5 linked regions of the Sus scrofa genome follow. The protein of the gene in region 2 purifies or fractionates together with the protein of the main gene of each other region. This does not show direct contact. Links are inferred from orthologs where the notes say so. Each region holds a gene or a part of one and is shown on either strand. Other genes may lie near its edges.

Region 1 (4,802 bases), on a different chromosome or scaffold from region 2:
GCAACACTGGATCCTTAACCCACTGAATGAGGCCAGGGATCAAACCTGTATTCTCATGGATGCTAGTCGGGTTCACTAACCACTGAACCATGACAGGAGCTCCTATTGCTCTTTTAATTACTAAGAGTTAACCTACCTGTTCATCTGAAGCTAGATTAGTGAACAATGGCACAATTTCACTTTTCACACTGTCCAACTCCAAAACTTTCGCGAATTCACCCAATTTGGAAGCAGCAGCACGTCGTACCATTGGTGTATCATCTGAGCATAAGGAACGGAAGTGCCTGCAGCAAATAAAATAATGAAGGTATTTCCTGTCAAATGCCACTGATCCCCTAACACAGAGAGAAATTTTAGTCTTCTCTTACAAACATCAGGGATTAGGCCTCTACTCATAGAAGTAAAGAAAAACCCACTGGTACAAACAAAAAGTGATGTCATCAATCCATCTACCCTGATATCAGCCACACACTGTTAACAGGGTGCTATGGAACTTGTCAGCTATGAGCTCCCAATAGCCCCAAGTAACAAAAAACACCATATCTTACTGTCTAATTTCTGCTTTGACAGCATTGGAAGCCCTGGGATAGCAAACGCTGAACAAACCACATGCAGATGTGCGAGAAGTGAACCAATCCCCACTCGCCAGGCGTTTCACCAGAGGTACAAAGTGAGCTTCCAGAGCGACAGGAGTGTGCTCCTGGGAGATCTGCCGCAGGGACTCCACGGCTTTGTCCCGAACCACAGTTTCTTCCACGGTCGCCAGACTTTCCAGAGGAGGCTGAATAGACCAAAACGAAAAACCAGAGAAGAAAACGTATTAAATCAGGTTAGGTACAGATTATCAGCTTTAAAGTGACTGAAGGGAGGTGGTACATGTAACCAGAATGTTAGCTACATCACACCAAATGGTTACTTTCAGTTCACACAGTGATAACATATGGTGTGTCCAACCTGAAGACACGACTTCTGTAGGACAGCCAAGATCTCGTGTCCCAGATGGCAATTCCCAGATGGTGTCTACAAATGACACAGTGGAAGAAACTTGACACAATATTAATGTTACTGTGAGCTGAATCATTAGATTTAAAAGATACGTATCCAAATTCAGACAGGATCGTGTATACTTCCCCAAGAGTAAGTGCAAAACCATGACCCACACTGGGCACCACAATCACATGATGACATCTCGCCAGGACACTGCGCCCACAGCTTTGGAGTATGACTCCACCATTCCTGGAGGCGGAAGCTACCCTTGTCCACCAGCTCCACACAATCAACTTATCCAAGCTATAAAGGGCTGAGTACAAAATCACTTTTTTCAGAATATATTCAGAATCTTTTCATGAGCTAGACAGAGTGGGAGTTGCTGAAAGAACAATTAAATGAAGAGTACAGAGACAGCAGGAAACCTTGCTTGCAGCTTTAGAAATGAAAGAGACCAAAGGGGTGGTCTGGACTAGGATCAGAGAGTGAATGACCTGGTCCAGTGAAAAGCAACAGCAGGCTGGTTCTCTGAACCTTTGCCTTTCTGGGTTTGCACTTGGTACAGGTAGATTCCACATTCGCCACAAGGTGCAAATGTTAAAGACAAAACCCACACGTAGAACTGACCAAGAGAGTGAAACAGAAGTATGAGCCAAATGAAAGAAGCACGAATAATAATATATTTCAAAAATTATGTGACACACAGAGGTAGAAAGTAGTCAGCTTTCCTAAGAGGTATTTCAGAAGCCCTTTGAAAAGACATTGCTTGCTTACTTGCAAACGCCTATCATGATCTCTCCCCTGCCTTCTCTGACCTCCTCTCATGCAATACCATTGGATAATCTCTATCACTACATCAGGATAAGGGCAAGCTCCTGAGAATCACATGCAAGTTTTGTTTCTTGATTTGAATTCTATTTCCCCATGCCTTTTTCCTATGGCCCCCAATCACCCACCATTTCCACCTACTCCAGCACCAACACTTCATATTCCCACAACCCAAGTGGTTCCATGCTTCCAAGGCTCTTAAACTCCATCTTTTGAAATGATAATTATTGTTGTATTCTAGCACAGAGGACAGAGAAGAAACAAGGACCCAATCTCCTTGCTCTAGTGGGGTTTACATTCTAATGAAGGAAGAAAAATCAAGAAAAATAATGATAGGAGTTCCCATCATGGCGCAGTGGGTAACGAATCCGACTAGGAACCATGGGGTTGTGGGTTCGATCCCTGGCCTTGCTCAGTGGGTTAAGGATCCGGCACTGCCATGAGCTGTGGTGTAGGTCACAGATGCGGCTCAGATGTGGCATTCCTGTGGCTGTGGTGTAAGCCAGCGGCTACAGCTCCAATTTGACCCCTAGCCTGGGAACCTCCATATGCCATGGGAAGCAGCCCTAGAAAAGGGGAGGAAAAAAAGACCAAAAAAAAAAAAAAAAAGAAAAAGAAAGAAAAAGAATTATATGGTATTGGAGTTACCTGTAAAGAAACAGAAGAGGATGATATGATAAGGGGTGACCGGGAGGCAATTTCAGGTTAAGTGGTCAGGAAAGGCCTCTCTGAGATGCATTAAAATTGATATCTGAAAGACTAGGAGCCAGCCACAGGAAGCTCAAAGGAATATTTTACTAGAGAGAACACCTACAGCAAAAATATTAAAGTAATAAACTTGGTTTATTCCAAGAACAGAAAGCAGACCATTGTGAATGGAATGAGGATATCTAGAGGAAACATGATATAAGCTCATAGAGGCAAATTTTGTAAGCTAAGGTACAAGTTAAGACAGAAATTTGGACTTTCTGAAAACCATGGCAGGAAGTGAGTGATCCACCTGCTAGGTGAAGAGTGCACTGTAGTGATGGATGGGAGGCATGAGTGGAAGGCAACTAGTTAGAGAGTTACTGCAGTAACCTAGAGGAAAGATGATGTCGTCTGGAAAGATTAGAGGAATGATGAGCTAGGCAGTGGTAGGGATGGAGGAAAATGGATTGATACGTAATACATATAGAATCTACAGGAGTTACTAATGGATTTAGATGTGGGAAATGAGAGAGAGAGAATTCAAGAATGTCTTCTAGGCTTTAGTTTGTCCAACTAGGTAGATGGTGATGCCATTTACTGCCATGAGGCAACAATTAGGAGGCATATTGGGGGAGAAAACTGAGTTCTGTTTTAGATAAATTAAATTGGAAATGTCTATTTGACATCCAGCTGGAGAAGTCATACACAGATATATAAGGAGATAAACATAGATCTATATCTGTCTTTCTCTATGTCTATCTGGAGTTCCATGGAGAGGTCAGAGGCAGAGACAAAACCCACAAGAGTCAGCAATATAATACAGAAAACAATTAAGCACTGACATATAGATCCCTAGCCTGTCCAACTGTCAAATTCCTAGACATCCTTCAAAACCTAATTCAGACATTCTCTCCCAAAAGGTCTTCCCTGATCACCCCCGGTTAATCCCTTTCTCTTTTCTATTACTTGGGTACCTTGTATGTGTTTCAAATTTTTCCATCTAATACCGCACAGTAATTATTTGTTGACACATAAGGACAGAGACTTCTTTCCATTCAGCGTTCTTCTTTACCATTTAATGCTATAACTTCAGTGCCTGATATGATAGGTTCTCAACTGTCAACTACATTAAACTGAACTCATCAAATTCACAGTTAAGTCAGAAGCAAAAGTTACGCTTACAGTTAAGGACAAAACTAATGAATGTTTCCAAAGCCATAATATTACTAGATGAGAATTAAGATTTCTAATATCAGGGAGAAAAAAACATAAACAAAAACAATCAAATTCTTTTTCTCCCAATCTCTAATAACAAATAAGTCTAGAGGCAGAAAAGAGGAAGAAGTTCTTATATTCATAGTCAGAAAAAAATAAGAGTTAACTGAATCCAAAGTGCCTACATAACTGGCTCTCAATAGCTAACACTGACTATCCATAAAAAGATCTGCATAAAAAATGTTGCAGTGTGCCTATCGCCAATGTATCATTTATACTGCAAAAGTTCTAGAAAGGCAGTAGACAGAATATACTCACCAGCAAACAGTGGGCAAAGTCAGGACCTCCGACCAGGCCAGTGAAATTTCCCAGCTGCTCAGCAAGAGCTAAGAGTACTTCATCTTCATCATAAATTGTATCTAGAAATGACAACAACCCAGTACCCATCAACAAGGAGATCTAGTTCAATTGGACACTCACACAAAACTAGGAATAGACTCAACATGTAACTAGATGGTCCTGTCACAATCCTGACAGCCTTTTTTCCTTCTCAGTCAAGAGTCTTCATGGATCTATTTTACAGGATAAGAAGTTCATAATCCAATAACAATTACTTTCTATGAACTAAAAGTTAATGTCTGAATATGTCTGGCCACAACATTACAATATGCTCTGTCCTGTTTCTTCTGCATTGAAAGCATCAGGCTCAGTTTAGTACTTACTAATGATGTGAGTAACAAATTCTTTAAAAAACAGTGAACGTTTTGGAGTTCCCATCATGGCACAGGGGAAACGAATCCGACTAGGAACCATGATGCTGCAAGTTCGATCCCTGGCCTGGCTCAGCGGGTTAAGGATCTGGCTTTGCTGCGAGCTGTGGTGCAGACTGCAGATGTGGCTGGGATCTGGCATTGCTGTGGTATAGGCTGGCAGCTACAGCTCCGAATAGACCCCTAGTCTGGGAACCTCCATGTGCCACGGGTGCATCCCTAAAAAGACAAAAGACAAAAAAAAAAAGTGAAAGTTTTGAAAGCCACTAGAAAATAGAAATGCCCATGCCTTTCTTCAAAGAGTCACATACC
Region 2 (4,802 bases):
GCCCACCTCGTGGGGCCAAGGCTCTGGCGGCTGCCCAGGGGGCAGGGGGCTTACAAATCGGGGGTCCTTGTTGAGGCAGGCCTCCACGAACTCCTTGAAGGGCTTGCTGTGGTGGCCCTCCAGCGTGGGGGGGCTGTTCTTGGGGATCAGGAACAGGACGCGCATGGGGTGGAGGTCAGAGTTCGGGGGCTCGCCTTTGGCCAGCTCGATGGCCGTGATCCCCAGCGACCAGATGTCCGCCTGACGAAGAGCCACACGGGGCCATTGCATCCGGGCGCCGCGCCTGCCGCCCCCACCCCTCGCCCTCTGCGCCCACCTTGAAGTCATAGGCCGACTGCTTGATGACCTCGGGCGCCATCCAGAAGGGGGTGCCCACAAACGTGTTCCTCTTGATTTGCGTGTCCGTGAGCTGCCCCGCCACGCCGAAGTCCGCCAGCTTCACGTCGCCCTGCTCCGAGAGCAGCACATTGGCAGCTGCTCGACACAGGACAGCAGGGAGTCACCTCAGTGCCGCACGGCCCCACCTGGCCTCCTAAGCAGGGCTCTCCGCCCTCAGAGCCGTGGCAACGGGATAGTGGCAGGTGCCTGCAGCGTGAGCCCCCACCCCCGCCCCACAGGTGCCCCCGGGCACCCGTGTTCACCTCACAAGAAAAATCCCACGAACAGAGCCACTGCCCTTGCCCCGCAAAGGGCTCAAGAAGCAGAGGGAAGCCCGACTCTGCCCCTTGCTCGGCCGGCCACCTTCCATCAGCCCCTCGACCTCGCCCTCGGAGGTGGCCTGGCCCGTGCACACCAGCACAGCTGCTCTAACCACCCCTCACACTCAGATCCAAGATTGCAAGCCATCCAGTTTGGGCCTAAGTAGGGTCCCGCTTACACCAGGTGCCGAGCTGGCTTCCCAGGGAAAGCAAGTCCTATGCATTACTGGCAATGTCTTCTGGAAACAGAGCCAGATAGAGCTGCTCAGTTCCCAGGGCCACAGGGAGGACAGGCAGGGCGCCCTGAGCACCGCCAGTGACGCGCCCCACCCAGCGAACCGCCACTGCCCGCCCCGGAGGGACCTTTGATGTCTCGGTGGATCTTGCGCTCCGAGTGCAGGTAATCCAGGCCCCTCAGGATCTCCCGCAGGATCGTGGCGATGTAAGTCTCCTCCAGGGGCCCCGGCTTAAGCTGCAGACATGGAGGAGACAGCAGGGCCTCGGGCTTCCCGCCACCCCAGACCCAGGGCCCAGGCCTGGCTCAGCCTCCTCTCCAGCAGGGGTGGGCTGAGCCTGTGGGTGGGAGGGACTTCCTATTTCTGGGGCCACTTTTGAAATCAGAGCTTCGGGTGCCAGGTCAGATGGGTGTGGAGCAGGCTGTTTTTTGAGAACAGACACCACCTTGGCCTGGGCTGTAAAGGTAACGGCTGAGGAGGAGGGCCCAGGCATGGCCCTGCGCCCCCCCCGGGGGGAAGGACTGTGGGCAGCAGCAGCACGTCTGGCTTAGCCAGGTCCTGATGAACCTCCAACACACAAGGCCAACGAGAGGCGGCCACAGGCCCGCCAAAGCCAAGCCCCCAGACAACGTCCTCAGTCCGTGCCCAGCCCTGCGGCCGCCCACTGTCGTGGCCCGCGCCTCACCAGGTCCAAGGCAGAGCCGCCGCCCAGGTACTCCATGATGATCCACAGCTTCGTGCCCTGGGCCAGAGAAGCGCCGGTCAGCACGTGGCAGCAAACACGGGACAGGCCAGGTGCACCACCCCGCCGCCCGAGAACCCCAGGAATGGGCCCCCGCAGCCTCGCCTGGCTCCCCTCTCGTCACAGCACGGCAGACACTGCAGTCAAACCACGCTCACCACCCGCCAACAAGCAGGCGGGGAAGGAGCGCGGCGGGCACGCCTCCCGGCACCTGCACACCAAGCCCCCGGGGAAGGGCTCCGGGCTCCAGCTGCGGGGCCCCGAGTGCGCCCAGCAGGCCTGGGGCCATCCTCCATCCTTGCCGCAGGAGGCGGCACAGCCAGCCCAGCCGGGACCTGCCGCCGCCCCACCCGCGCTCCCCCTCAGGGCACACGCGGCCCTGGCGGCTGTCATTTCTTGGAGGCCCAGCTCTGCCGCCCTCGCCTGTGGGGACCGCTCGCCCTTCCGACCAGGCCCAGGGGAGGGCAGACGGGCGGGCGCCCGAAGCACCCCCCGCCCAGGCACCTTCAGGTAGGAGCCGAAGTAGCGCGTGATGTAGGGGCTGTCGCACTGGCTGAGCACCGTGATCTCCTGCTGGATGTCCTCGATCTCGTCCTCGGCCTCCTCCAGGTCGATGGTCTTGATGGCCACCACCTCCTTGGTGCGGTTGTCGATGCCCTTGTACACCTCGCCGAACGAGCCCTTGCCGATGCGGTCGAGCTTGGTGAAGAGCTCCTCGGGGTCCACGCGGGGGTGCTGGGGACACGGGGCGGGCCGCGCTGACCCCGAGCGCCGGGAGCTCACGCGGCTTCCTGCCTTCCTTCTTTGATCCCTTTCCATTGAGAAACCCGAAGCCAAAGGCAAAACCCCCCCCGAGGGTGTGGGGGGGCCCGGCTCTGGCCAAGAGTCCGGGCCATGGGGCAGCCAGAGGGGCCACGCAGGCCACGCCGGACCCGCCCACACCCCACGCGTGGGGAGGACCCGGTGCCCCCCAGGAACGGGTTCAGAGGGAGGAGTCGGGGGAACACCGGGACCTGGACGGTGCTGGCACCACCCAGGGCGAGCCTCGCAGGCTGCAGACTTGGTCACAGCACGTCCACGCTTGTCACCCACTGTAACAAACCCCCGGGGGAGGGGCGATGGACAGGTGGAACCAGCTCACTCATTTCCCTTTAAACCTACAACGGCTCTGAAAAATAAAGGCTATCAATTAAACAACACCAACTGAGTCCTCCCTGTGCACCTGGAAGCCACACCCCTCAGAGGCCCCTCCAAGCCCCCAGTCAGTCCTGGGGACGGCCACCCCCGCACACCAGGACCCTGAGCTAAGAAATGACTCCTTGATGGGCGATCCTAGGTGTTGGCCTTTATGGAAAACTGCGCCCCTGGTCCTCAGGGCTGAGCCGTGGGTGCAGGGGGCCTGGCAAGACGCAGGACGGTCCCACAGGGGACAAGCCCGCTTTTGACCTTGACCCTCAGTGGGTCGGGGCTGAGACAGCGCAACTCGGGGGCTGCGTGGAAGACACCAGAGCCTCTAGGGCCACCCTTGGTGTTCCCCAGCCCCACCCAAGTGGCCCCCTGAGGGCACCTCACCCCCTCCGCCAGGCTACTGGCCATGTTCTCAGAGGCCCAGCAGTGGCCCAGGGGCTGGAGCCCAGGGACCTGCATGGGGTTGGAGCCCCAGGCAGGGCCTGTGAAGGGTGGGCGGGGAGCCTGGCGTCCAGTCCCGATGGGGGCAGAAAGGGCTCTCTAAGCCCTGCAGGCCTCACACCCAACAGGACACACCTCCCTCCAGAGAGGCTGCCCCCACGCCTCAGCAGTGTCACCGGACGTGTCTTGGCGACCACCTGAAGTGGCCAGAAGCAAAAAGGCCAAATCACAACTGGCTTTGCTGTGGAAGCACCGACCGCTCTGGAGCCAAGGGGGCCCAGCCCTGGGCAGCGCACTGACCTCGGCACGGCCAGCCCTTGGGCTCAGCCCCAGGCGGGCTCCGGACAGAGGCGGCACACATCCCACGTGCCAACAGCTGCCTCCCCAGGTCTGGAAACAGAGGGGCCACGTGAGCCCAAAGAGGGCCTCGTAGGGGGAGCCAGCGGGGCCAGGCGAGCAGGGAGGGCCGAGGGCCAGGCCCCGGCATGGTGGGCCGGCCTCCATGAGGTGGCCAGAGCCAAGGTGCCCACTCGCACCTCCCCCGCGGAAGCTGCAGCCAGTGCAGCACAGGGCCAGGTGGCTGCCACCTGGGTTCCTCAGGCCACCCGTGAGGACACTTTCTCCCCCTGCTACGCATATTCTGAAAGTCCCAGCTGCTCAGCTGTCTTTGGGGTGGGGACCTCGAGATCAGAGCCCCGCCCTGAGTGGCCAGCCTCAAGGACTCTGCGAGCCTGTCACCAGCATGAAGACTCACCAGCATGAAGACGGCCTCCCACAGAGACCAGGAAACAGCCCCCGCCCGCTTGCACCCCCCCAAACCCCTGGGCACTGGGCCCAAATGCCACCTGGCCCAGTGCCCCCACGTCCCCTTCACTAGGCCCCTGAGCACCCAGCTAAGTGCTGGCCTGCAGGGCCTCCACCCCCAGCTCATCCAGCCAGGGCTCCTAGAAACGGTGCCTCTACTTCCAAGGGGGCCTCAGAGGGGACCTGGAGGAGGTGGGACCGAGGCCGGGCAGCACTGTTCCTCGGGCTTTCCGGGTTCCCCTCCCACCCTCAGGCCTCCCTCTTCTCACTGCAGCCTGCACTCTCCACCCCAACGGCTTGACGAGAGGCACACCCAGCTGGGTGCCCAGACCTCCACGGCTCCTGAGGGAACTGGGCAGACCCCTGGACCAGGGGCTCCAGACTCAGCAGTGGGGGGAGCTCTGGTCCCAACGTCACACTTTTTGGGTCCCCACTGCTGTGGGTCAGTCTCCTGAGCAGACAGCATGACGGGAGCGCTCCTGGCTGTGACCCTGACCCTACAGGCACATCACAGGGACACCTGCGGCCAGAGCTGGTGGAAGGAAGGAAGGACAACTGCTCCCGAGCTGGCCTTGCACTCCCCTTCCAGAGACGGGCGTGGTTCAGACAAGGGCTCAGGCTGCTGGCAGTCCAGACCCTTGTCCTCTGGTCAGCCCTGGGCATGCGAGGTCAGTGGCCACTACCAGGCAGTAT
Region 3 (4,802 bases), about 8.6 Mb from region 2:
ACCCTCACTGCCATAAAAGAATACTTCTATCAGCTACCGCTTACTGTGCACACACCGTGTGAGCGCACAACAACCCCGACACGCTAGTATTATTTCCTACAATCTGACAAATGAAAAGACTGAGGTCAAACCAGCAGCACAGCTGGGAAGCGAACCCAGGCAGCCACGCCTCAGCCCTCTGGTCCAGGGGCATCTATGAGATTAGTATGGCTGGACTACTCTTAGTGAATCCATGCTGGCTGTGGGTACACGGTTTCCTTTCCAAAATGCTCAGAAAGCATTTCTTTAGCAATACTTTCTAGCACCTTACACAGGTATAACATCAAGCTCCAAGCTCCACCAGCCTCTCTGGGGAATCTACCTTCTCTTACTCTGGAAAATTGGAAATATATTTGTTGGCCTTCCGATGCCCCCTCCTCATCGCCTTAATTCTTCAAAACAAACAAAAAATCGTGAACAAGTGTTTGGCCACTGATTTACTCTCAGTAAATAGTATTCACTCAAGCTCTGAGTCCCGGATGTATTTTGAGCAGGCAGTTTTAACCTCCTTTTAGGATTCAGCATCTGTTCCTTGGACATTAAATCCAGGGTTATGGACGAGCCGCATTTGTCTGAAGGTGCAGAGTGCATTTTATCGGAAGGCAGCTCTGGTCACATTCTCAAAGGAGAGCATGAACCAAGGATCTGTTCTTTCGCATTATACACAGATTCTCTTCAAAAAGGACCCCGCACCCCAGAGGAGGAGTGGACCTCCTCCCCTCCCTGTCAGCACCTCTGGTCCTTCTTTCTCCCCACGCTGCCCAGACTTTGAAGGGAGGGCTGGGAGGCAGCGTCTTCAGTCTGTTTGATAGGCCTGTGCCTCTGCTATGCTGTCTTAGTTTGGGGATCTACCTAATTGTGCTGCTTGGAGAGCTCTCTGTTCAGGGGCCTCTTTAACTGGCTCGCTCCTTCCCAGTCATCAGGAGCGGCTGAGATACAGAAGCCAAGACCGCTCCTCGCTGCTCTTTCTAGAGCTCATCCTCAGCATCCTACGGTTTTCAACATTTCCCTTTCTTGGGCAGAGAATACCGCCTGGCTGTGCCCAGTCTTCCCCTCTCTGGCTCCCGTGACCTGACAGGGTTGCTTCGCCCACAGTGATCCTGCCACCATCATTTTCTTCTTGGTGAGACTTTCATTCAAAGAAGCAGCTTAACTGAGATGAAATGATCGGCAAGGCCAGTGAGGGCTGTCAGACACCTCGAATCACACTTCCGGCATGTAATTTGCACATCCCCCTCGCCTCTTGGCCAGTTTTGCCATCTGTGCCAGGAGCTTGTCATCTGCGCCCTTCACCTGGTCAGGCGGCCTGGCTGCATTCTCTCAACACCACTGCCACTCCTCTGCCCTCGGCCTCCTGCTCCCGGTGTCCCACGCTCAGGCTTCTGGCTTTCCTGCCACCCGGGAGTATCCCTTCCCAACGTGTGCTGCTGCTCCACCTCCCTCCAGAACGAGTCTGCTGCTTTTGAATGGGGCACACCCCCCGTCAATAGATCCCGGTCACAAGTCCCACCAAGAGCAGTGACACCTAAGACGTCATATTTACCACTGCGTTATGATCCCCAATTCATTTCATTCTGCTTCATAATTAACATTCAAAGCTCTGAGGTCTTCCTGAGGCCTTCTGACATCCTCTCTAATAACCCCGAGGCACCTCTCGTGTTATCATCTCATTCCCATTCAATGGGAGACCCCAACAGCCAGGTCCCCAGGCTTTTGTTCTATTTTAAGGGTGTTCATTTGCCCTAAGGGATAAATTTTATTCAGAGACCAAGGCGTGTACTCATTATCTCAGTGACTCTTTATACAAAACTGGACCCTCACAAGAAAACTGGCCACTTCTTACTCTAACAGTGTTTGTGGTTTCTGAGCACAGTGGTCTGCAGGTTAGTGTATTATATTCTGATTATATAAAAAGTGCAGTTCAAAGTATTTGCTTGTGAGGTCAGATATTTTAAATAAGGGAATGTAACATGTAAAGGCTTGCTTTCATTGTGAAAAACACTAATAAAGATTACTGATTTACATACCTTAAACAGCACAGACCCCTGGCATTCAAAACCACAAATGTGTAGCTTGTACAGTGCTATCATATCATAGGTGTATTTAATTGATACAAACATACAACAGGGAGATCAGGTAGGCAGGGCAGGGAGGAACAGTGCCAGTGACTCTGCACCCCCCGCCCCTCCATGTGTAATAGATAAGCTCTGGCCTGAGCTTGACATGGGGGAGGTAAGGCCACTGGGCCCTGGGGCCTGGCCACAATACGGAAGTCTCTGTCCTGAATGTGGTTCTAGTATTTAAACATGTATACTCCAAAGTAACCCGGCCCTGAACAGAAAGGCCAACTACTCTGTCTGGCGTTTAACCAAAGAAACTGCCACAGCATATTCCAACACAGAAGAAAAATCTGATTTTTATATATACTGCATATCTGTATATTGTCCTTGATAAGAAATTTAACAGAACAGTGTACTTTTGACCATAGAGGACTTCTGTCTTTTAGACAGACTTTAGAATCTTAACTTTTCCAACCTTTTAAGCTGTGACTCTACTGCAAATACCCGAGTCACACGAACACATGTAAAATATATCTGCTCTCTCCCACTAGAGGGCAGCCGTGTACAGACTTGGAGGACAGAGGAGGTTTAGGAATAAAGTCTATAGTTAGAATTCTAGTTTCTGTTACCTTGAATGTGGCAAATGCATCTGAAGCTATGTCAAATGTTGACATTTCAACATATCTGAAGAAATCATAAAACTGTTCTGACCACAAAATGATTTTTGCAAGTGGTTCATGTCTGATGCACTCTCTTAACATTATCCCACAATTTAGAGCTATTTCTGGAGATTCATACCTGCAAAAAGAAAAGACAAACATAATTGCTTTTTCATTTTTAAAAAAGAAACTCTAACACGGAACGGTTCTGATTTTCAGAAAAGGAAGTTTCAGACGTGTCCTAAGTGGCCAGAGCAGGTGACAAAATGCATCTCTCTCAGAGCAGAATAGGTGCTCGGAGGGCTTTAATCAGAGGGCACACACAGGGCAGTTGGTGGTGGCTGCTTCAACCCAAGGAAAAGGAACAGTCGAGAGGGATCGTGTGAATAAAAGCTCCGGATTTAAGCTAAGAGAACTATTCAGGGTCAGACGTCCAAATCGGGTTTAGTTTTACACATGGTGCTCTCAACACTGCAGAAAAACTAACAGCTGAATCAAAATCAATAGGAAACAAAATAGTTTCCTAAACTCATAGTAGCTAAACAGGTCTATCTGATAGACCTATACATAAACAGCATTCATACTTTAAATATACATCACTGCATACCTCATTGTTTCAATTCAAGGCTCAAAATAGTACTTTCAAGATTCCTGGCAACACGCAAGCGCCGCGAAGCTGAAAGCCCAAGGCGAGGGCCCTCCCCACGCAGCCCTCCTCTGCGCCCACCTCTACGCTCTCGCCTCCTCCTCCCCTGGGATCACACCGAAAATCCTGTACTTCTTTCGGCCCAGAAACCCTCTCCGTCCGGATGCCCAAACCTCTTGGGCCGGACCCTGCCATTCTGCTCCAACGCGTCGCCCGGTGCCTCCACTTCCCTTCAAGCGCACGCACAGGTTTCGTCTCTCACCGTGTCGCCTCGTTTCCCGTCATCAGACTCCTTCCTACCATTCTACCAGTGAAGGAAGACCTCCTCGTGGCTAAAACAGTCGTGTCTCAGGACGGGAATCCTGCCACTCGGCCTCCGGACAATGCAGATCGCTGCCTCGCCCTCTTTAAAGAAAGAACCACTCTCCCCCGGCCCCACTTTCCCACTTGCTGGGTTCCCACGTCTTGCCTGGCTGAGGTCTCTCCTCTGCGGCCTCCACACGCCCTCGGGGTTCCCACCACAGCCCCCAGATGGCCCCTGCGCAGATCTCCCCTCAGCTGGAGCCGAGCATTTTCTGTTGCCGCTTCCGGGCACCTTCAGTTAAAGGCCTCCCGTAAACCTGCCGTGTCTAATTTGGCATCACTGTTTTGTTTCAGGTGCCTGGGTCTAAACAGGTCTAAGAGAACTTTCCTTGATAATGGAAATGTTCTGAATCTGTGCTGCCTACTAAGCACTTGGGACTTGGCTCGTGTGACTGAGGGACTGAATTTCAGAAGCTACTTAATCGAGTTTAAGATTAAATAACTGCGTGTTATTAGCAGGGTCTGGATTGGACAGCGCAGTTCTAACCCTTCGCCTCTTTATCCTCCATCTACTCCCCTCTTCCCACCTTCGGTGTCACCACTCCTTCTTAATACCGCTTTGAAATACCTCAGTTTCATTTCCTTTTATCTGTTCTCACTGCTGCATGAAGTCACATCTGGTCAAGCAAGTGCCCCCCAACCCGCCTCTTTGTTCTGTCTTAACACATTTACTTGAAGCACAAGTACAGCAATAACCTCTCCAGCTTAGGAGCTTCAAACAATTTCTTCTTGCTAATCAGACAGACAAACGTCTGGGCTTTAATGCCCAGGCCTCTGCGCATCCTACCTCCTCCTCTGGGTGGGCACCATCTCCCACTAGCCCGCAAAACACCCCGATTACCCCCTTATTGTTGCCAGTCACCGTGTCCATTCCTGCCTTGTACTTACTCTTTTTTTTTTTTGGCCTAAGCCACTTCTAACTATCTGGAGCCTCAATCCTAAATCCAACCATCGCTGTAACCAACCCTTGCCTTATTGGTTAAACCCACATTTTATCGCCTGAAATCCTACAGGAGTGTTACTTAGCATTACTCT
Region 4 (4,802 bases), on a different chromosome or scaffold from region 2:
AAGCAGAAGGTGATTAATTACATATTTTATCTTACAGTATATTTACTGTATCATAAAAGATTCAGTGTAAGCCTTCTAAATGAAAAGAAGGCACATATTCCAACTATTTTCTTTAAATATTTGACAAATAGGATGAGGGATAGAAACTTAAAGCTTAAGAGCCACTTCCAACTTTAATAAAGATAAACCTACTCAAGTGAGAAGACATCAAACCGGGGGGACAGTGCGGGACAAAGAACCAGGAGGCTGGGTTCTAGACCCTAGCTCTGCCATTATTTAGTTGTGAGATGTTGAGCAAGTCGCCTAACTGGTCACATTTCATTCTCTGAGTAAGCATTTCCTGAGCTCTTAGATCTGTCCTAGATACCATTTTGCAGGCACAAATAACACAAGGAGAGTCTTAGTGATCTCCACTGTCAAACAGTAAGTTTGAACCCAAGCTGTTTTCCATGTTTTTTTTTTTCTTTTTTTGTCTTTTTGCTATTTTCTTGGGCCACTCCTGTGGCATATGGAGGTTCCCAGGCTAGGGGTTGAATCGGAGCTGTAGCCACCAGCCTACGCCAGAGCCACAGCAAAGCGGGATCCGAGCCACGTCTGCAACCTACACCACAGCTCACGGCAACGCCGGATCCTTACCCCACTGAGCAAGGGCACTGATCAAACCCGCAACCTCTTGGTTCCTTGTCAGATTCATTAACCACTGAGCCACGACGGGGACTCCTGTTTTTTTTTTTTTTTTTTCTCCTTCTTGTTGTTGTTTTGGCCACGCCCTCGGCATGTGGAAGTTTCTTGACCAGGGATCAAAGTCGAACCACAGCAGTGACAACACTGATTCTTAACCCACTGTGCCACAAAGGAACTCCTTTTTCCAGCTTAAACTCTATGATTACTTTTACAACTTGATGTAAAAAAAAAAAATTGATTTACACTCTAGGAAAACAGCTTGAGAGGCATGAACACAAATTCTTTGTTCACTTCCTTCTAAATATTAGACAATAAAGAACAAAAGACCTGTATAGTGTAGCTACATTGAAGAATTTGGCTCCCATCTAGATGGCAGTTTTACACTCTTAGGATGGATCATAAGACTCAGTCTCAGTATTGTAACCAAAGTACTATAGCGTATAACTCCCATGCTGACTGGATGCTAGGCAGATCCTAGGGTGTGAGTGTAATGTCAGGACAGTATGGCTAGGCACTAAATGGCATGTAAGACCCCTGTAAAGGAAGACTAGCTTCTTAATACTACTTATATTCTGGGGGTGCTCCACAAATAAATTTAGAGAACTATTAAGCCAGAAAAGTTTAAAAAACAGAATTAATATGTCTTAAATAGTCATGTGAATTTAGATAGATAACTTGATCAATGTTTTGTATATTTCACCTTTCTGGTGCCTAATATTTTTAAACCATATGACTTAAATTCATAAGGAGTATTTTACAAACTAAACAAAACTTGAATTAAAAAAATAACATTTAACAATCGCCAGATTCCAATTAATCATATCTCAAAATTAAGGGATCAAGTCTGAACCCCTAAAATATCAAAAATTTCAAAAAAGAATAATTTAAGAGGAGTCCCCTGGTGGCAGAGTGGGTTAAGGACCTGATGTTGTCACTACTGTGGCTTGGGTTTGATCTGTAGCCTGGGAACTTCTACATGCCGCCGTAGAGGTGGTCACAAAAAAAAAAAAAAAAAAAAAAAAGTAAGATAATACTGGTAATCAAATATCAGTATTTCTGGCTTGATAGAATACAAAACTAAATGGCTCCAAATGAATTCCAAATATGAAGAACTTGAGAACATACATGTGTATGTGTATGCCTGTGTGAGCACATTTATTTATTTACTTATTTATTTATGTTTCAGGTCTTTATTTTGTCCTATTCATATTCTGAAATTGCTTTAAACATGCATTTGTCTTATTCTCTATTATTAATTAACATTCAAAAGTAATGCACATAGAACAGACTATGGAAAGACAGGACATTGTAAGAGAAAAAAATGCCTGAAAAATACTGATATTGAGCACATATGGTATAATAAGGAGTTTTAGAGAATAAGTCAGCACACCTTGTTCCTTCAACTGGTTCTTGATTTTTTTTTTTTTTTTTTTTTTTTTGTCTTTTTGCTATTTCTTTGGGCCGCTCCCGTGGCATATGGAGGTTCCCAGCCTAGGGGTCCAATCGGAGCTGTAGCCACCAGCCTACGCCAGAGCCACAGCAACACGGGATCCAAGCCACATGTGCGATCTACACCGCAGCTCACAACAACGCCAGATTGTTAACCCACTGAGCAAGGGCAGGGACCGAACCCGCAACCTCATGGTTCCTAGTCGGGTTCGTTAACCACTGCGCCATGACGGGAACTCCAGGTTCTTGATTTTTTAAATATATAACTAATATTACAGTTGTCCCTGTTTTTATGAGATAATGAGATTACTATTTTCTGATAACTCATGTTGATAAGTCTAGTCCTTTTTTTCCCTAAAGCTTGTTTCCTATGGGAACTGACCTTGATCACTGAGTTTTTGCTAACCTTAATGCTCTTTAGGAGTATAAACACAAAGCTAACAAGAGAGCAATGACCCCATTTTTGGTGTACTGTGGGAGGGGAGATGAATTAATCAAGAATAGCTTCAATAATTGGAGTTCCCGTAGTGGTGCAGCAGAAACAAATCCGACTAGGAACCATGAGGTTGCGGGTTCAAGCCCTGGCCTCACTCAGTAGGTTAAGGATCCAGGGTTGCCATGAGCTGTAGTGTAGGTCGCAGACACGGCTCAGATCCAGCGTTGCTATGGCTGTGTTGTAGGCTGGCAGTACTAGCTCCATTTAGATCCCTAGCCTGGGAACCTCCATATGCTGTGGGTGCAGCTCTAACAAGCAAAGCAAAAAAAGAAAAAACGAAAAAAAAAAAAAAGAATAAAAAAAATAGCTTCAATAATAAACATATACTACTTTCATATTCTGGATTAGAATGTAAATAGAGCTTAAATTAAAAAACATGTAATGGATCAAATTTTTAAGGAAGAAATAAATTTTAAACTATACAACAAATGCTGATGAAAAATAGGACTCTATTGAATTTGGTGCAATAAATCTACTGCATTCATTGGTTTGCCTTAAGGTACTGGATATTGGAAATATTTAACTGGTTTTAAAGAATTTTTGATCTTATACATTATCACTCTTTATATAACTGTTTGAAATTCCAAAAAAAAAACCACCCCAAAACCAAAAACAAACAAAAAATTCCAAGGCTGAATTTTATCTTTCAATAGTATCAATTCTTTATCACAGCTATCTTCTTCTTCTTTTTTGTCTTTTTAGAGCAATACCCATGGCATATGGAGGTTCCCAGGCTAGGTAGAGGTCTAATCGGAGCTATAGCTGCTGACCTACACCACAGCCACAGAAATGCCAGATCCCAGATCCGAGCCTCGTCTGCTACCTACACCACAGTTCACGGCAACACTGGATCCTTAACCCACTAAGCAAGACCAGGGATCGAACCCGCAACCTCATGGTTCCTAGTTGGATACATTTCCATTGCACCATGACGGAAACTCCTATTACAGCTATCTTCTGATCACCCTCATAAACAGAAGGGATCATTCACAAGAAACAAAGACAAACTTAGTTTTTGCAATTTATTATTATTTAGTTTAAAGGGCAAGTTCAGTCACTAAATATAGATCTTTGCTGTTTGTCTGTTTAGGGCTTTAGGGTGGAAGAAGGGGCATTTAATGAATCTGTATTCCATGAGTACACCAAAAGGAAAGGATGTAGGATGATGGTGGTGGCAGAAAAAAATGCTGATGTAGTCATTTAACATAGTTAACCTGCCAAATAGCCAAAAATAGCCTGGCTAAATATTTTGTTCCAAAAACCTATTTAAGTATCAAAATTAAATTTAATTTAGATGAAAATTTAAGATAAAGAAATATTCTGAAACTAAAAAAGAGTTCTTGCATACTTGTGCAATTCTTTTTCTTGCCGCTGTAGTTCTGATGATAGCAAAACATTTTCCTTTCTTAGAGAACGGCATTCGGTTTCCAATACATTCCATTCCTTTCTCAACTTCTCTAGTTCACCTAAAGTAGTCCCAAAACACATCTGTTAATATAGGAACATAACTACTTTTTTCCCCCTTAATGTATATTTTATATGACCATTTTTCAATTCCTGTTACTTTGCAGTTATACCTCAGAGAAATTCCCAACACCTTGAACCTCAGTAATATTTTTTTCCCCACTTCACTTTGTAAAAAAAATTTTTATTGGAGTATAGTTGACTTACAATGTTGTGTCAGTTTCAGCGTACAGCAAAGTCAATCAGTTAATACATATATCTATAGTTTCTCAGATTCTTTTCTCATATAGGTTATTACAGAATATTGAGTATATTTTCTTCTTCTGTACTAGTAGGTCCTTGTTAGTTATCTATTCTATACATAGTAGTGTATATATATTAATCTCAAACTCCTAATTTATCCTTCCTTGTCACGTTTCCTCTTTGGTAACCGTAAGTTTGATTTTGAAATCTGTGAGTCTGCTTCTATTTTGTAAAAAAGTTCTTTTGTATCATTTTTTATTAGATTCCACATATAAACGATATCTATATGATATCTGCCTTTCTCTTTCTTCACTTAGTATGATTATCTCTAGGTCCATCCACCCACTTCACTTTTATAAGACAAATAATTTTTAATAGTATTTAGGTAAAAGGTATAATTAGAAAAATTTTCAATTTATTGTAGAGCTCATACACCTGAGGAATGTTTCTAGCCCCAATACAAAAA
Region 5 (4,802 bases), on a different chromosome or scaffold from region 2:
CAGAACACATCCAATCAATGTTATAATCTAAGGTAGACCATAATATTAATAACTACTTGAAAGCCTCCTTTCAAATGTCATCTCAAAAGGGACAGAACTGAACACATACTGTCGGGTGATGGCTCACTCATAGTGAAGTCTTGGGAGATAAATATTTAATAAGAAGGAAGAGCCTTTCCTCCTTTCAGGCTCTCTAAATTAATGGTCTCCATGTGCTCCAAACCACTACTTTTAGGTTATTTTAAAAGAAGAAAGCACTTAGATTAACAAAACCACAATTCTTATAGCAAGATGAATCACCATACCCTGGAGCCTTTAAAGAAAGACACAAAAAAAGAGAAGAAAGAAATAGGGGGAAAAAAGTACCAAATTAAAAAAAAAAAAGTTTCAATGCGATGTGAAGGAAAGGAGGCAAGTGAGAGGATAGGAGGACAGGCCACATTCTTAAAGAAGGGTACAATATTCCAATCCCTTTACCTGATGCTGTTACCAGGAGGCTGTCTGAGGCACCTGCTCTACAGGATGAGGCACTAATTGGGTTTATGGAAGAGCAAAAGGCAATGGTGGTGGGAATGACAAGGGAACTTTCTGAACATGCAGGTTGGTTCAGTCCAGGGGTTTCAGCAGGCCAGGCACCCACCTGAGACGTGGCCAGGGCTGAAACGGCACAGCCTGCAGGTGCCACAGTTAAATCTATGGATGGTTTTGGTGGCAGCTGAGGGGAGGAAGATTTAGGGAGGTTCTCCTCATTTATTACCCTGATCCCTTGTGGCAAAGTGGAAGGAGGCGAAGCCACAGTTTTGTTATCAACCTTGGCCCCTGCACTGGGGGCCCTGCTGCTATCCATGATAACCTTGAGCTGGGGGTGTGGTGGAGAAGGAGTTTGGGAGAGCCCTGGCTTTTTTGGAGGGATGGGAGGCGGGTTTCCTCTGTCAACTCGTCCTACACCAGAAGTCTTTAAACTGGTCCGACCAACCAGGGGGTAGGTGCCAGCGTCCCCCGTGGGGGGTGCTCCAGGCCTTGGGGGAGCTCCCGCTGGAGGGCTTGTAAATCTTGATAGTGCTTGGGTCACGGTATTCCGAGCTAGCTGTTTGGCCACTACGTTGTCACGACTTGTAGGAGAGACATCTCTGGACGGAGGGCTTTGGGTTGTGTTCCCATTCTGGTCTGGGTCATTAGCATTACCCTGAAATCTAAATCGCGCCGCCTGGATGCGCGGGTTCAGACCTGGATGCAGAGGCGCACCGGCACACGGGGAATGTAAACTGTGTGGAGGCTGGGCTGGTGAGCAACCCTGGGGAGCTGGGCCTGGCGTGTGCACAGTGGGTGGGGCGGCGTTACTGGGGAGTGGGGATGGGTTACTTGCTAAATCTGATGTTGAGCCAGTGCTCGGTCCATTTTCCTCAATTCTGGTTGTACTTGGAGGTGGGGCCACAGGCAGAGAAGAGCCAATCAAGTCACCATGGGAAGCCTGCCTGTCGATACCTGGTCTGACCAGGGCGGCACCTGCGGACACATTCCCTTTAGCATTTGCGGAAACTAAGGGGCTCCCCGCGGCAGGCTTTACAGGCACCGTCAAAGGCAGCTTCTTCAAGGGGTCAGCATTTTCTGTTACTAGGTCTGTCTGGCAAGCAACAGATCTTGTCATCGGTCCTTCTGTTCCCACAGATATGGAGACCAGACGTCTATCTTTGGTCTTCCGGGGAAGAGAGAGGCTGGGTTTGCTGTCATTTCCCCTTTTTAGTTGCTCAATCATCTTCTTCATCTTGTCTATCTCCTCTTTGAGGTCAGTGGTGTGTGCTTCCTCTCGGTGCAGCTTGGCACGAAGCTGTTCCCGCTCCGTGTCAAACTCTGAGAGCTGTTTTTCCATCTGAGCTTCCATTTCTGTGCTTCTTTGTTTCTCGGCAGAGAGTTCCTCTTCTAACACACTCATCTTTTTCTTCTCCTCTTCCAGTTTGGCCATCACCTCTTCCAGCTTCTGGGCCTCCTCTATGACTCTGCCTGAGAGCTGCTTGCACTCCTTGACCAGCATCAGGACCACATGCTTGTTTTTGCCTCGCTCCTCCTCCAGGCGGGCGGCCAGCTTCTTGTGCTCTTGTTCAAGGGCTTGGAGCTGAAGCTTTTCCATCTCCAGCTGAAAGAAATTCACAGGACAGCTCTGATTAGCAGGCAGAAGCTTTTTTTTTGCCCAAGAAGTGGAGAGATTTTCCTTAATTTTTAAATAATTACGTGGTTTGGGTTACCTAAACTGCCACATTTCTGAAATGTGTTGTGATATGACAGACATTGTAGAGGCTCATTAAAATGAGAAAATAGACGTTAAGTGGTTTTATGAAAAACATCTACAGCAACAGAGAATTTTCTAATGTATTAAAGTTAACCACATAAAAGAACAGTAATCTGATGGTTCAAATCACAACAAAAGAGTTCAGAAAGGTCTGCTTTTGTAAAAACAGAACTCTATTAGGGAACTGGTGTGGGCTTTTTTTTTTTTTTTTTTTTTTTTTAAGGATTAATGCCTTAAAATTATTACTCTGAGATACTATATAATGAAAACAGAAGATTTCGGTTAAAGTTTAAACTGTACTTATTACTTAGCTTTTCAAGAAATCTTCTTTGAGTTTATGGTAAGTTGCTATAAAAATCATGTAAAAGCATATGTGAAACTTCTTTGAACTTATATATAAGAAATGTCTTATAAAAAATATAATCAGTATCAGTGAACCCCCACGTCTTACCTCATCTCCTCCCTTCCATCCCACTTACTCACTCAGCTCCCAGGACACGGTCTTCCTGGCGTTTCTTTAACATCACCCTGCCTCAGAGTCTTGGATCCTGCTACTCTCTCCGCCTAGAAATGCCACCACGACCTGTCACATAGGGCTCCTGCATGAAGCGGTTTGCGCACTGCATGAAGGTGACTGGCTGTGGGGTTGAGAGGGTTAGGAGTGGGTTAGCCCAACCCTGTCTACTCCCCACGCTGTCTGCCCAGGCCTGGGGCTGCATCTGCCTGAAAACAAGGGCACCTTTTCCTTCACAAAAAGGCTCACCATGGTACAGGCCCCTAGGATTTAGGCTTTCAAAGGCAGTATTTGCCTAATTGATTAACATAGGGAAGGAACTTAAAAAAAAAAAAAAAAAACTCTTAATAACTTCACATGGGGTTTTCTAATATGCACAAAAATACCCAACAGCACAGGCGCCTGGCTCCTTCACGTCTTTGCTCAAATGTCACCTTCACAGTAAGGCTTCCACCCCTAATCTACTATATGAAATTTGGTGGGTGACTTCATAAGTAGATTAGGTAAGATTTGGGGAACAATTCTGCTATTCTATACTAGATTTATATTTTATTCACTTGGACACCTCACAGAAAATTGGACTTAAGAGTTGAAGCCTATTTAACTCTTCTAAATGCATCAAATAATAGGTTGTTTGGAAGGCAGACAGAAAGTTCTATTAAGAAAATATTGAACATGTTTTGTATTACCCCCTCCAAGTTCTTATAGCAACCTAGGAAAAAGCACAAATTAACTTTCAGCTTATTTTTAAAATATGATTTTCATAATTTACCCGTGAAGGTGGGAAAAAGTTGTTGCAGAATTTAAGGGCTACTTGCATTTTACAAAACAACTAACTAAAGGCCAGGTTAGTGATTTCCCTGATGTCATCCAGTTAATCAGTGTCAGGATCCTGGCACTCATTTAGGGCTCTGCTTGCCTCAAGTTTTTCTCACCGCATCACATGTGCTGCCCACAGCAGTTCTTCCCTATGGGTCGTCACACTTTATTTATGAAATGCTAACTTTCATCTTACACTTCAGGGTCAAATTAAAGGACTTCCGAAAGGATATCAACTCAACTAAACCCAGAATCTCATACAGAAAACTATACTCCTATAAAAGCACCCATACGTTTCCTGTATCTTTGTTCTTCCATCACTCATGCCTTATAAATCCTGTCTCAGACTAACACGAGTCTTTTTAATCTCACTGCAGATAGCAGAGCACAGAGGAAATCACAATAATTGATGCACCTACATCACGTGACTCCAAACCCAACCGAGCTCTGAGCCCCAGTCATCAATCATTCTCCCTAACTCTGTTTGGTTTCCTCCACCATTTGCTCCTTCAGGGGATATTTAAGCCTCTGCCACTCTCCCCAATACTTCGCCCAGTCACCACTCAAGTCACTCTCAGTCTACCCTACTAGACTCTTATCAAGAAAATTCAGAACAACTCTCTCCCTTTGCATCCTGTCTGCCCCCTTAGGCTTTTTTATAGTCATACCAACCCATACGTCCTTCCCGTCACTCTAAGAGAAGAGGTTTCCATCTGCTTAAGTTCAGACTTTCTTCAGCAATTAACTTCATTATCGCCTGTCACCTCTGAGACTTGGCTCAGCAGGTTAAACGTCTGGTGTGTTCACTGCAGTGGCTTGGGTTGCTGTTATGGCGCGGTTCAGTCCCTGGCCTGGGAACTTCCACATGCTGTGGTGCAAAAAAATAAATAAAGAAAGAAGAATGATGACCTATACTGGTATTATCAGACAAGGACCTTAAAGCCCCTCTTTTCAAAGAAAATACAGTCACAGTGACTGCACAGAACTAGAAACAAATGGAAAATCTAGAACTGAAAAGTATAGTATCTAAAAACTTTTTAAAAGTTCACTGAATGTGCTAAGAGAAGGGGGAAAAAAGAAGAATTTGAAATAAAACAAAAGAAAATATCCAGTTTGTGGAACAGAGAAAAAAATGACTGAAAAAGTGAAGGCACTTCCGTGACCTATAAGACAACGTTATTA

Evidence for each region.
Region 1: the proteins of STK25 (region 2) and PPP2R1B purify together in Homo sapiens (affinity purification with mass spectrometry; 3 studies listed by BioGRID and IntAct, with this or other methods). This does not show direct contact. The link is inferred for Sus scrofa from reciprocal best matches to the Homo sapiens genes STK25 and PPP2R1B.
Region 3: the proteins of STK25 (region 2) and CAB39 purify together in Homo sapiens (co-immunoprecipitation; 3 studies listed by BioGRID and IntAct, counting the BioPlex papers as one, with this or other methods). This does not show direct contact. The link is inferred for Sus scrofa from reciprocal best matches to the Homo sapiens genes STK25 and CAB39.
Region 4: the proteins of STK25 (region 2) and SLMAP purify together in Homo sapiens (affinity purification with mass spectrometry; 5 studies listed by BioGRID and IntAct, with this or other methods). This does not show direct contact. The link is inferred for Sus scrofa from reciprocal best matches to the Homo sapiens genes STK25 and SLMAP.
Region 5: the proteins of STK25 (region 2) and CTTNBP2 purify together in Homo sapiens (affinity purification with mass spectrometry; 3 studies listed by BioGRID and IntAct, with this or other methods). This does not show direct contact. The link is inferred for Sus scrofa from reciprocal best matches to the Homo sapiens genes STK25 and CTTNBP2.

What each region holds. Positions count from the first base shown.
Region 1 is NC_010451.4:39,511,608-39,516,409, forward strand, and holds part of PPP2R1B (serine/threonine-protein phosphatase 2A 65 kDa regulatory subunit A beta isoform), read right to left. Parts: coding exon 4,802-4,802; intron 4,140-4,801; coding exon 4,039-4,139; intron 782-4,038; coding exon 549-781; intron 285-548; coding exon 137-284; intron 1-136. UniProt on the Homo sapiens protein: The PR65 subunit of protein phosphatase 2A serves as a scaffolding molecule to coordinate the assembly of the catalytic subunit and a variable regulatory B subunit.
Region 2 is NC_010457.5:140,147,115-140,151,916, forward strand, and holds part of STK25 (serine/threonine-protein kinase 25), read right to left. Parts: 5' UTR 2,496-4,802; coding exon 2,181-2,495; intron 1,677-2,180; coding exon 1,620-1,676; intron 1,171-1,619; coding exon 1,062-1,170; intron 475-1,061; coding exon 317-474; intron 241-316; coding exon 1-240. UniProt on the Homo sapiens protein: Oxidant stress-activated serine/threonine kinase that may play a role in the response to environmental stress.
Region 3 is NC_010457.5:131,564,939-131,569,740, reverse strand, and holds part of CAB39 (calcium-binding protein 39), read right to left. Parts: intron 2,898-4,802; coding exon 2,729-2,897; intron 1-2,728. UniProt on the Homo sapiens protein: Component of a complex that binds and activates STK11/LKB1. In the complex, required to stabilize the interaction between CAB39/MO25 (CAB39/MO25alpha or CAB39L/MO25beta) and STK11/LKB1.
Region 4 is NC_010455.5:39,704,825-39,709,626, reverse strand, and holds part of SLMAP (sarcolemmal membrane-associated protein), read right to left. Parts: intron 4,096-4,802; coding exon 3,978-4,095; intron 1-3,977. UniProt on the Homo sapiens protein: Associates with the striatin-interacting phosphatase and kinase (STRIPAK) core complex, forming the extended (SIKE1:SLMAP)STRIPAK complex.
Region 5 is NC_010460.4:28,493,077-28,497,878, reverse strand, and holds part of CTTNBP2 (cortactin-binding protein 2), read right to left. Parts: exon of another isoform or gene 2,767-4,802; intron 2,135-2,766; coding exon 478-2,134; intron 1-477. UniProt on the Homo sapiens protein: Regulates the dendritic spine distribution of CTTN/cortactin in hippocampal neurons, and thus controls dendritic spinogenesis and dendritic spine maintenance.